Linked DNA regions of Drosophila melanogaster. The protein of the gene in region 2 interacts with the protein of the main gene of each other region in a pairwise test. Each region holds a gene or a part of one and is shown on either strand. Other genes may lie near its edges.

Evidence for each region. Proteins that work in one complex are often made in the same cells at the same time.
Region 1: the proteins of CG13321 (region 2) and TwdlE interact in a two-hybrid assay, tested with the Drosophila melanogaster proteins (one large-scale study listed by BioGRID).

What each region holds. Positions count from the first base shown.
Region 1 is NT_033779.5:7,857,421-7,862,751, forward strand, and holds TwdlE (TweedleE), read right to left. Parts: upstream 3,420-5,331; 5' UTR 3,281-3,419; coding exon 3,263-3,280; intron 3,182-3,262; coding exon 2,961-3,181; intron 2,701-2,960; exon of another isoform or gene 1,505-2,700; coding exon 1,150-1,504; 3' UTR 537-1,149; downstream 1-536.
Region 2 is NT_033778.4:12,951,504-12,956,216, reverse strand, and holds CG13321 (uncharacterized protein), read right to left. Parts: upstream 3,106-4,713; 5' UTR 2,561-3,105; coding exon 2,554-2,560; intron 2,260-2,553; coding exon 1,868-2,259; intron 1,717-1,867; coding exon 1,555-1,716; intron 1,442-1,554; coding exon 1,142-1,441; 3' UTR 505-1,141; downstream 1-504. Other genes in the region: CG44250 (uncharacterized protein), read left to right, coding at 4,041-4,044, 4,339-4,371; CG44251 (uncharacterized protein), read left to right, coding at 4,041-4,044.

The sequences.
Region 1 (5,331 bases), on a different chromosome or scaffold from region 2:
GTCAACTATCTGACCTACAGGAAGCATTGACTAGTATAACGACGTCGCTGAAGAATATGTCTGCGAAAATAAATATTTTACATAGGTTCAAGCGAATCGGATCGAGATATTTGCACATCGAAGACATAGTCCAACAAAATTGGACCAGTGCTTTGAGCGCATGTCAAAAGATGGGAGGTAATCTAGCCTCAATTATAAATGAAGCAGACTTTAATGCTATCGTTTCGCAACTAAGCAAAGACAACACTTATATGATTGGCATTAGTGATCTGGCTGAAAAGGGCGTTTTCATATCTGTGTCCTCCGGAAAGAGAGCACCTTTTTTGAAATGGAATCCTGGAGAGCCACTATACGAACATGTAGATCAGCGTTGCGTTTCTATACATAACGGTGGCATGTGGGTTGCTTCTTGTACTTCTGATTTCAAATACATTTGCGAGGCAAATGAAAATGTATAGTAAACAGATATATATAAATATATGTACACATATGTTAAGACTTGCAATGTGAAACATACAAAAAGAAATCCATCTTGTACAGATAATTCGTTAAACTTTTATTTAGCCATTGATGTTTTGTGTTTTTAACATTATATACTTGAGTATCATTTTAATCTTCATTTTTTTTTGTTGCATTTCGAGTGCTTCGCACATTCTATTTAATGACAAATCGTGTGCGAAATGTGCAATATGAAATTGGAATAAATTGCCTACTTGAAAATGCGTTTGTGATGAAAATCATGTACCACGTATATATCGTTAATCGGTATCAGGATCGATATCTCTATCGATAACTAAGGCTAGCTCGCAGTGAGTGTTTCGAGTGTTTTGTGTGAGTGTATAACGCATCGTTCGCTTAAAGACCTAGACTTAAGACTAAACAAACAATTTGAAACAAACAGCCTAGATGGAAAACATACTTCTCGTACATCAGGTAGAAACAACATCAGAGATAAGAATTACTCATCTATAGGAGTAATAATCCTATGAGCTGGGTGTGGAGAGGGGATGGGGGAGATTCGTTGCTTGGTAAACTTTGTCACGCGTTAAGGTCCTTGAAACAGAAAATAATACAATACACATAAGATATGCAGTTTGCCATGAGTTGGGTTGAGATAAGCAAATCGGTATTCGGGTTGGACTGGATCGCCTAGTGGGATGGTGCCCCATACGAGCTGCTGGGAGCAGAGGGTGCGGGCGGGGCAGCTGGAGCTCCGTACTCGGGCGCTGGAGGCGCCACACTGTTGGGATAGGGTCCGGTCTCCTCCTTCTGGGTCTTGTAGCGGATGAAGTACACCTCCGGCTTGCTGGGTTGGGTGGGAGCTGGCGTTGGGATAATGATCTCCGGCTGCTCCTCCGGCTTCTTGACTAGCACGTACACCAGGGTCTTCTCTTCGTTCTGTGGGAACTGCGGTATTACAGGGGCGGTCGGTACTGGTGGAGATGGCGCCTTGATGAAGACGATCTTGTAGTGCTTCTGCGGAGGTGGCACGTAAAGGGGTTTCCTGGGAAAATATTTAAAAATGTATTTAAATAAAGGTTCTGCTATATCTGTATTTAAGGAATTTCTTAGGAATTCTATGGGTAAAGTAAGACACCACATCCTCATATAACGCAACTTTTTTTGCTTCCGGCTTGTAAAAATTTACATACTGAATAAAAAAATTTCAATTACACACGGCCAGGCTGGAATGACTTTCCACACTTCCTATAACCTTGCCTTGTTGAACGAACAAATACCGCGATGCGGGAGAAAGGAGTTTCTCTTTGAGGTGCATGCAAATGGCATGCCCATAAATGGTGACCTCCCGAAAATGGTGACCTCCCGACAACGTTGAACCCACTGCAGCTGCTTGTCAGTTTTACTAATCAGATGAAGATGATGACTATTGTGACGATGACAGCGATTGTCACAACAACCGCCTCGAGACGAGGGTTTACATAAAGCTACCTATGGTAATCGAGTTCCTGTCCCTCTGCGCCTGATAATTTGCTTGGAAATGGTACTGAGATATATACGAGTACAAGTGCTGCGGCGAGCTTAGGTAACGTTTTAGTCACGGTTTGGCGGTCTGCAAAGCCATATCATTCCCCTCTCGTGGTAATTAACATCGCTTCCAACTCCAATTGAAAACAGACAGAAGACGACAGAAAACATTGTATCAGCGAAAAGAGAGGAAAGTTGGATGGCTTTCGTTTTCGCGGGTATTAAATAATGTTCCTCCTCCGTTTAAGCGACCCTCTAAATACCCTGGAAATGTGGCAACAGCTGTGGAAAAGGGCCCTGAGCTGGATTAGATGATTGCCGGCTGGTCTCTTGCAACATTTGTCTAGTTATTATCTTTGGGAGTTGACGGCACTGCCTGGTTTACGCCGATGAATTGTGAGAGAATCTGCATAAGTGCCTTGGATTATATACTCATAACACAACAATGTGTTTTTTCCCCATATTTTTCCAATCTTAAGTGGAACAAGACAAATAAAGCGAGATCGTTTGTAACCGCTCACAATCACGCAAGTCGAAAAAAAAGTGTGCTGGATAAGGGGTGTGAATAATTTGAACTGATTACGTTGTGAAATGAAAAAAACCGCAGGATGTACGTTTATATTGTACGGCTTATCAGAAGAAATTCTCGATTGTTCACTCACTCACTGTGTTGGGAGTGTAGTGCGATTTCTATTTTGTGAAACTATGCAAAATAAATAATTTTACTATTACTTAAACTCTTAAATACGTATCTTTTGTGATTAAACTGAATGTGTCTAAAATAACATTTTTAAAGATTTTTTCCATTTTTAGGTCTGATATAATTATCATCTAGTATAGACAAAAATTTTAAACGAGTATGCATAGATCCTTTTCCGGAACTTGGTTGAAGAATAGGTTTATTGGGAACCCTATTCTACTCGCGATCTTTGGAACTTATGTTGGCTTAGAGGATCCTTGATCCTGCCACTCACCTGGGTGCCTGGTATTCCGGCTCTGGTGGAGGTACATGGACGTAGACGTGCTTGTGAATCACCGGCGCCTGCTGGGGAGGTCCGTACTGGGGCGCAGGGGCGCCGTAGCCTCCGCTGGGTCCACTTGGCTGGTAGCTGCTGGAGGGGGGCGCACTGTACGAGTCACGAGGCGGCTCTGGACGAGCGGCCACCAGGGCAGCCAGGGCCATGAGGACCACTAACTGCGAACGAGATCGGAGGAGAACACACCATTAAGCGATGTCCATCACGGCCACTTGGTCGGTTTGGTCACAAGATCATACCACACAACTGGAATGCATTTTCGGGTGGCTTATTTCGGGTATATCCGTTTCGGGTTTTGTCACTGCTCCAGGTGGCTAGGTGCTACTGGCTGTTACTGGTTACTGGTTACTGGCAATGTGGTGCTGCTTCGACGCGGAACCTCTTACTGCATGCCACAACGATTGTTGCAGTTTCTTTTATAGCAGCGCAGCGCGTGAAATAAAAATTAAGTAAAATTCAAGACGACGATCAAGACCGCTGCTGCTTTAGCCGCCTCAGCTGCCTCAGCTGCTGCCGCAGTCGACCGAGCAGTCGGCCAAGTTGGCTGAGCAGTTGGCAAAGAGCGGCAGCAGCATGTAGCCATGAAGAAATTGAAATGTTTAAGCCAAGTCCAAAGTTTGGCCAGTCATGATCTGGTGGGGAAACTGAGGCTGCAGCTCCTGGCTGCGATGCAAACGGCGACCGCAAAGCCAACCGAAACTGCAACGTCTGCTGACCGTTTCTTGGCTTTGGCTTTCCTCCTTCGATTAACTACTTCTTTTTCGTGGTTTTTCGAGCATGTGGTTGGTTGTTTTTTTTTTTCTGTTTTTCTGCCCAACTAGGATTATTTTCATGGGGAAAATAAGGAACCTGAAAGGTGCAGTGTATGTATGTAAAATAAAGCTTGAGGCAGCAAGGCCATCAAATAGTTTTTTATGGTTTTTATTTCTGAAGACACTTAGCTGCTGGAATGTAGCTTATTTCAAGGGTCCATTATTTTCAAGGCAAGAAAATAAAAGCCTTTTTTGCGGTAACCTCAGCTTTAACGATTTCCTGCTTAATTTAAGAATATCTGAGAATATCTGTTCTCTTATTATTAATTTATCACGCCTTTTGTTCTTTTATCATTAAAAGAAAATGCCTCTCTTAGCTTAGATAGTTTAATTATTAAAGGCAAGTCATATTTTGTAATATTTAATTTATAAATATGTCTTGTGCATTTTTTTCCCTCGCCCATTTAAAACATTTGTATAGATTCGCTGTAGAGTACAACTCCTTCGAACTGATTGCCAAAGAAACATGGTTTTTCCTAAAATCTCTGATTTCTGTTATTTATATATAAATATATATATATATGTGCTTTATTATATATATGTAGCTAATGTGTGTAAATTGTTATTTTGGTCATTTAGAGGATCCAATCGCAGTGGACTCGTAACCAAGTCTGGACTCTGGATCGGATCGTGTGGCACGATTCACTTTCAATTTCAATGAATGTGGATTCACTCTCATTTAGCCAGCCGTTTTGGGGAATGGGTTGGTATAGTATGGTATGGTATGGTTTGGGATCAGATGGGATGGGGCTAAGCTTTGTTTTGTGCTCTGGAGTGGGACTGAATCTGGTGTTGGTTTTATTTCATTTCTTCATGCTCTTTCGGCCTTTTGTTAGCCAGCTTCTTTCGGTGTTTTGGGTTGTGTTGTGTGTTGGCTTGAGTTGACTTGGCCTGGCTTGTTGTTATTATTATTGTTACTGTTATTGTTATTGTTTTACTGGCTATGTTGCTTTTGTAATTGCTGTCCGCGTTTTGGACACGAAGCTTCATAATGAGCTTCACGCTCTTGTTGGGTCGACCCATCTGTACAGGCATTTTATTTAATTTTTCTCCTCTGGTTTTTTTGTTTTTGCAATATTTTGAATTTCTTCAATTTGTTTTTTTTTTTATCTCTGGCAAGTTTTAGTGTTGTTTTTGGGTTGCTTTTCTTATTTAATAATTTACGCCCCGGCCATGACAATTAGCGTTAGAGAAGAGTGATGGATAAAATTATGATTGGCAAAATGTTTTGCAACTTTTCCATGGCTCATAGCCCCCAAAGTAATAGCTAGCTTTTTTCCTGATTTATGCACATAATCTATAAATGGCAATCAGCATTTTTGCATCGGTTGCAAGCGATCCTTGGCCGCATTTTGGGGCCACTCCTGCACAATCGCTGCCGGAATTTTGCTTTATGAAATGGCATAATCAGTGACGACCAGTGGCGCCAAACGGAGGACGACACCGTAAACCGTAGACCCAGGCACCGAGTAAGATACCCAGCAGCAGTATTGCAA
Region 2 (4,713 bases):
ACTTGTAAATGAAATGTGATAGGAAACGCCTTGTCTTGGCCACCTGCCACTTTTAGTTGGCCACGTCCACAGACTGAGAAACTTGCTACAGAAGACCAATTAAGTTCGAGGTCGGGAGCGGCCGGATTTCCAGTTAGCCAATGAAAACATAGCGCTGCCGACGACGGTAACAAACGACCAATGACAAGCAAGCAGTAAGGGCGAGCGCGAGTGAGAGCAAGCGAGTGCGGCTGAGGGGAAAAAAAATAAGATATTCGACCCTGGGGGTGTATCTTTACATAAAGTCTACGCGCCATGTAGAGAGTCAATCGAAAGCTCTGGAAAAGCTTGCAAAACAAAGCATAACTTCAGGTGTAACGAATTTTTTGGTTGTATGAGATTATCGCCCTTCTTGACGAGATCATTTGAGTTGTATATATCGGAAATCAAAATAGCCTTTCCACAGAAGAAGAACTTATAAAAAAGGTTCCCGTTGTTGTTAAAACATCAATACTAAAATTGATTAGAATCATATTTTATTTCTTTTCTTTATTCCGTTTTACCCAATTTCTCATTTCCCTACGAGAAGCTTTTGCGAGGAAATATACATATTCCAGCAAAATTCAATCCATATTAATAACCAAGACCAGGGATTCTCCAAAAGTCTAGAAACCATTAAACTGGCGGTGAACCACCACACTGACTTTTAGTAATAGTTCTCTCTTGATTACTGGAGTTCGCCGAAATCGGTCGACTAGAAGTCAAAAGGCGTAGTGACCCCGGTCTATCATCAACTCACTTGTGGCAGCTGCTGGATTTTCGTGCCTGGAGAGTCATTGTCCGAATTTGACAGCTATGGAAACCAGGGATGACTGGACAAGCTGTCCTTGTTTTTGCTGCGATGCCAATAAACTTGAGCATAACTTAATTCGCTATAGAGTAGCGTTCATAGCAGGCGATTATTAAATATATAGAATATATCAAATATGTTAAAACAAATTACTTGTGTTTACCAAGCAACAACAATGAGCTGTCTTGTCATTTTTCATTAAAATTTCGGACATTTGGTTTATCAGAGGACGTTTTTAATGAAACAAAATGATTTATAAATTAGTAGGCAGACGACGGGGGGACAACACAAAAGTCTAGTCGCTGTAGCAGCTCAGCCCTTGACCAGGACCTCGTAGTGGTCGATGCGGACCTCCTCGCCGTCGAATGGGATGTAGAGGCAATGGTGTGACTGGTGGATCTTGCCGGGAGTGAGGCTGCCGTGGTGGTGGGCACGGCCGATGAACAGGGGCTCTCCGTCGGAAGTGCGGCCGCAGAGAACGGCATTGCCGGGCACATTGCCATGGCTGTCGTGCACCCATCCGTACCCGTATCCGGCCAGCAGCTCGTAGTCGTGCTTCACAACCTCACCGCCTCCGTAGGGCACATAGGCACAGCCCTTGTTGGGGATCACCTGTGGTGGATAAGTGGATAGATAAAGTGGGATGCAACAGAACAGATTTAAAGATGGAATGCTCCAAGTGTACATTTTCGGAACACGAGCTGTATATAGTTTAAGGTTCTCACCTTGGCTGGCAGCAAATCGCCCTCGTGGTAGGCGCGACCCACATAGATCTGATCGCCATCGGCGTCGTGTCCGCCAACCACTGTTCCGGGAACAATGCCGCGTCCGCTAGAGGCTATCCACGTCTCGGGCTGGACCAGCACTTCATAGGCTTCCAGACGGTGCTGAAATGATATAAGATAAAAGTGATTTACTAAGATTTATCACATTGCAAACACTGCTTGTGCGATTCGTCACTACGTGGTCTTCGAACGTTATTGTTGAGGGGATGAAGGGAATCCATCAACATAACATCAAAGTGAGGGTTAGACCTACCTCCTGTCCGCCGTAGGGGATGTACAAACACTGGTGCGAGGGATGGACCTTGCCGGGGGTGAGGCTGCCCTGGAAGTAACCACGGCCCACGTACAGGGGCTCACCCTCGCCAGTCTGGCCCACTTGGATGGCATGGGGCGGGACAGATCCACCACTGGACGGGATCCAGGAGAAGTGATCACCGACAAGGACCTCGAAGTCATGCTTGCTGATCTCCTGACCGCCCCATGGCACATAGGCCTGCTGCTTGCCGGGCACCACCTTCGCTGGCAGCATCTCTCCATTGTGGTAGGCACGGCCCACAAAGATGGGATCCTGGTCGGAGTCGTGGCCAGCTAGGATGGCTCCTGGGGGCAGGGATCCGTAAACGTTGGTGCTAATCCAGGTGTAGTCTGAGGGCGAATAAAATATATATATAGAGCAAGGTCAGAGGCGATAAGTTAACTTGGGCCAACGAGGGCCAACTGTACACCATTAATCAGCCACAGTAGAGGTTTTTTGTCTTTTATTTGTCAGGGTGTAGAATCGCTGGATCTATGGAAAGCTACCAAAGCTCCAAGGGATTTCGGCTGTCAGGTGCGCGGAGTATCGATGACACTTGCCCACTTGTCACGACTAATTGCGGCACTATGCTTTCGTTTTCGCCAGAATTATCTTAGTCACTAACTTTGCACTTCAGTTCTCACCTCCCATGTTGTATTTGTGTGCTTTTTTTGTATGTTGATTTAGGTCTGGAACGTGATGTTATATACTCGCTGGCTCCGCTATGTTTGGGCTGACTTCAACGACTGGTCGCTACCCGCACATCGGTTGCGCCTTAAAAGCTGTTGTTTCCGCTTATCAGTTCGGCAAGTTAGCCGGCAGTGATAAGATATCTTAGTCACACTGCTCTGAACCGTTCGATTGTGTGTGTTCCACAAAGGTATCCTCATGTCGTAGAGGGTGTTCGTCATTGCGACCAACTGACAGGTGTGTCAGAATGTATATTGGATGATTTTGTTTGGTAAAAACAATTTAAATTCTGGGTTAAACAGGAAGCGCAACCAAAATTACTCAATCGATCTTGTGCATGAATATTTGTTTTTGTTTTTGCGGGTTTTATCTATAAGCAGTTGGCTACGAATCTTATCGCCGGTAGTCAAAAATAAACTTCATCAATAAGTTCGTAAAAGATTATATGTATGAGGGTGGCTGTCCATGGATCAACTATAAGTTCAGGAATGCTTTTCTAGAACAAAAATAAGAACCAACATGTAAACAGTTACCTAACCTTCTTGTGGATTATTCAAATCATAAACCTAATAATTGAGAAACCTTTGGAAAACTAACTGTAACTGTTGTAAAGTTACAGACACTTGTTTGGTCTAAAGATGAGTCAATTGCGATATAAAGTTATTGATATCGTTACCGCTGAGTCACATATGTATATTTATACTTTTTAATGCCTTTTATGCCTTACATAAATGCATACATACATATGTCCTTTGAAATCAGTTTGTTTGTTATTACAAAGAAATTATTAATTAAAAGAGATAAAATAAGCACATACATTACACTAAAGGTTTAAAGATTATTTTTAATATTTCAGTAGGTAAAAAATAATTCAAAATGAATGATCCTTTTTCTATTAAAAGTACAAATTTTCGACATGCTTATCGCCCCTTCAACGGGGGGGATTTTTTGAGCATGGGCGCTTCTGGCAGGCGTCATATTGTTTATGGGTCTATTTAATTGGGGTTCCACCTGTTGAGAGGGCACAACAATAACATTTAAAACAATGTCCACATGCTTCGATTTACTTGTTTTTTTCTTTTACTCCCAAAAGTACCGCCTGTTTGGGCCAATGATTCATTTTCGATCGATAAATGGAATGCTTTTCTGGAAATGGAGCTTTCGAGACTGGAAGTTAAAATTAGTGATAGCAAAGGTCCCAATATCAACTGCACTTCTTTTTTTATATATGTACAAATGCGAATTGAAAGATAAAAGCTCGCCGATAAGAAGCAGTGACGAATCGCTCTGGTTCGGTTTTTAAACGTCAGGCTTTTGCAAACCAATAGTTTAGTGAAAAGACAAACTTTGGTCAGTTCAGACGCATTTTGGAGTCAGAAGAACGCAAGTGAATAAAAGAAACTATTTTTCATAGGAATAACTTATCAACAATTAACGCACAATGGGTAAGTAGAATGAGTAACCTCTGATAAGTGCAACCAAAAAAAAAAAAATGATTTTGCAATGCCAAAGTCTAATGAAATAAGTGTAATTTACCTTCAAGATCATCAAAATCAAAAAATATATTGTTGCATATTAGCTTAATTAAATTCAATTTCCCAATTACGGGCGAAGAAATCCGCAAGTGCTGACCAATTCTGTTGGTATTGCGATTTTTTTCTCTGTGCACATTAGCCGGAAGAAAAGCAAAGAGCATTGAGTGACTTCTACAGTTCTCCGCCTTTCTTTGCTCTTTCCAGGCGCCGTGCAGCCAGGAGGAGTTGTGACCGTTGGTAGGACGAGTGCAGTGAGCCCAGGGTGAAACCCCTACGCCTCTGTGAAACCCCAAATCCCATTTGATCCCCGCCCCCAGACCACCTAGGCCACCCAAAACCACCCAAACCCGCAAAACCGTACAGCAAGCCAAATATGTACACGGAGAAAAAGCTATGAGAGTATGAGTATAGAGTGAATCATTATATTGTACATTGTACTTAATTTTTAATCAAAACCGTATCCATTTAATAATGCAGCTTCGGGATGATAAATGTTTACCTTTTGAAAAAGTACGAAGTTAGTAAATCTTAATCTTTTTTTTTTTAATAACAATATATAATATCTATCAAGACAATATT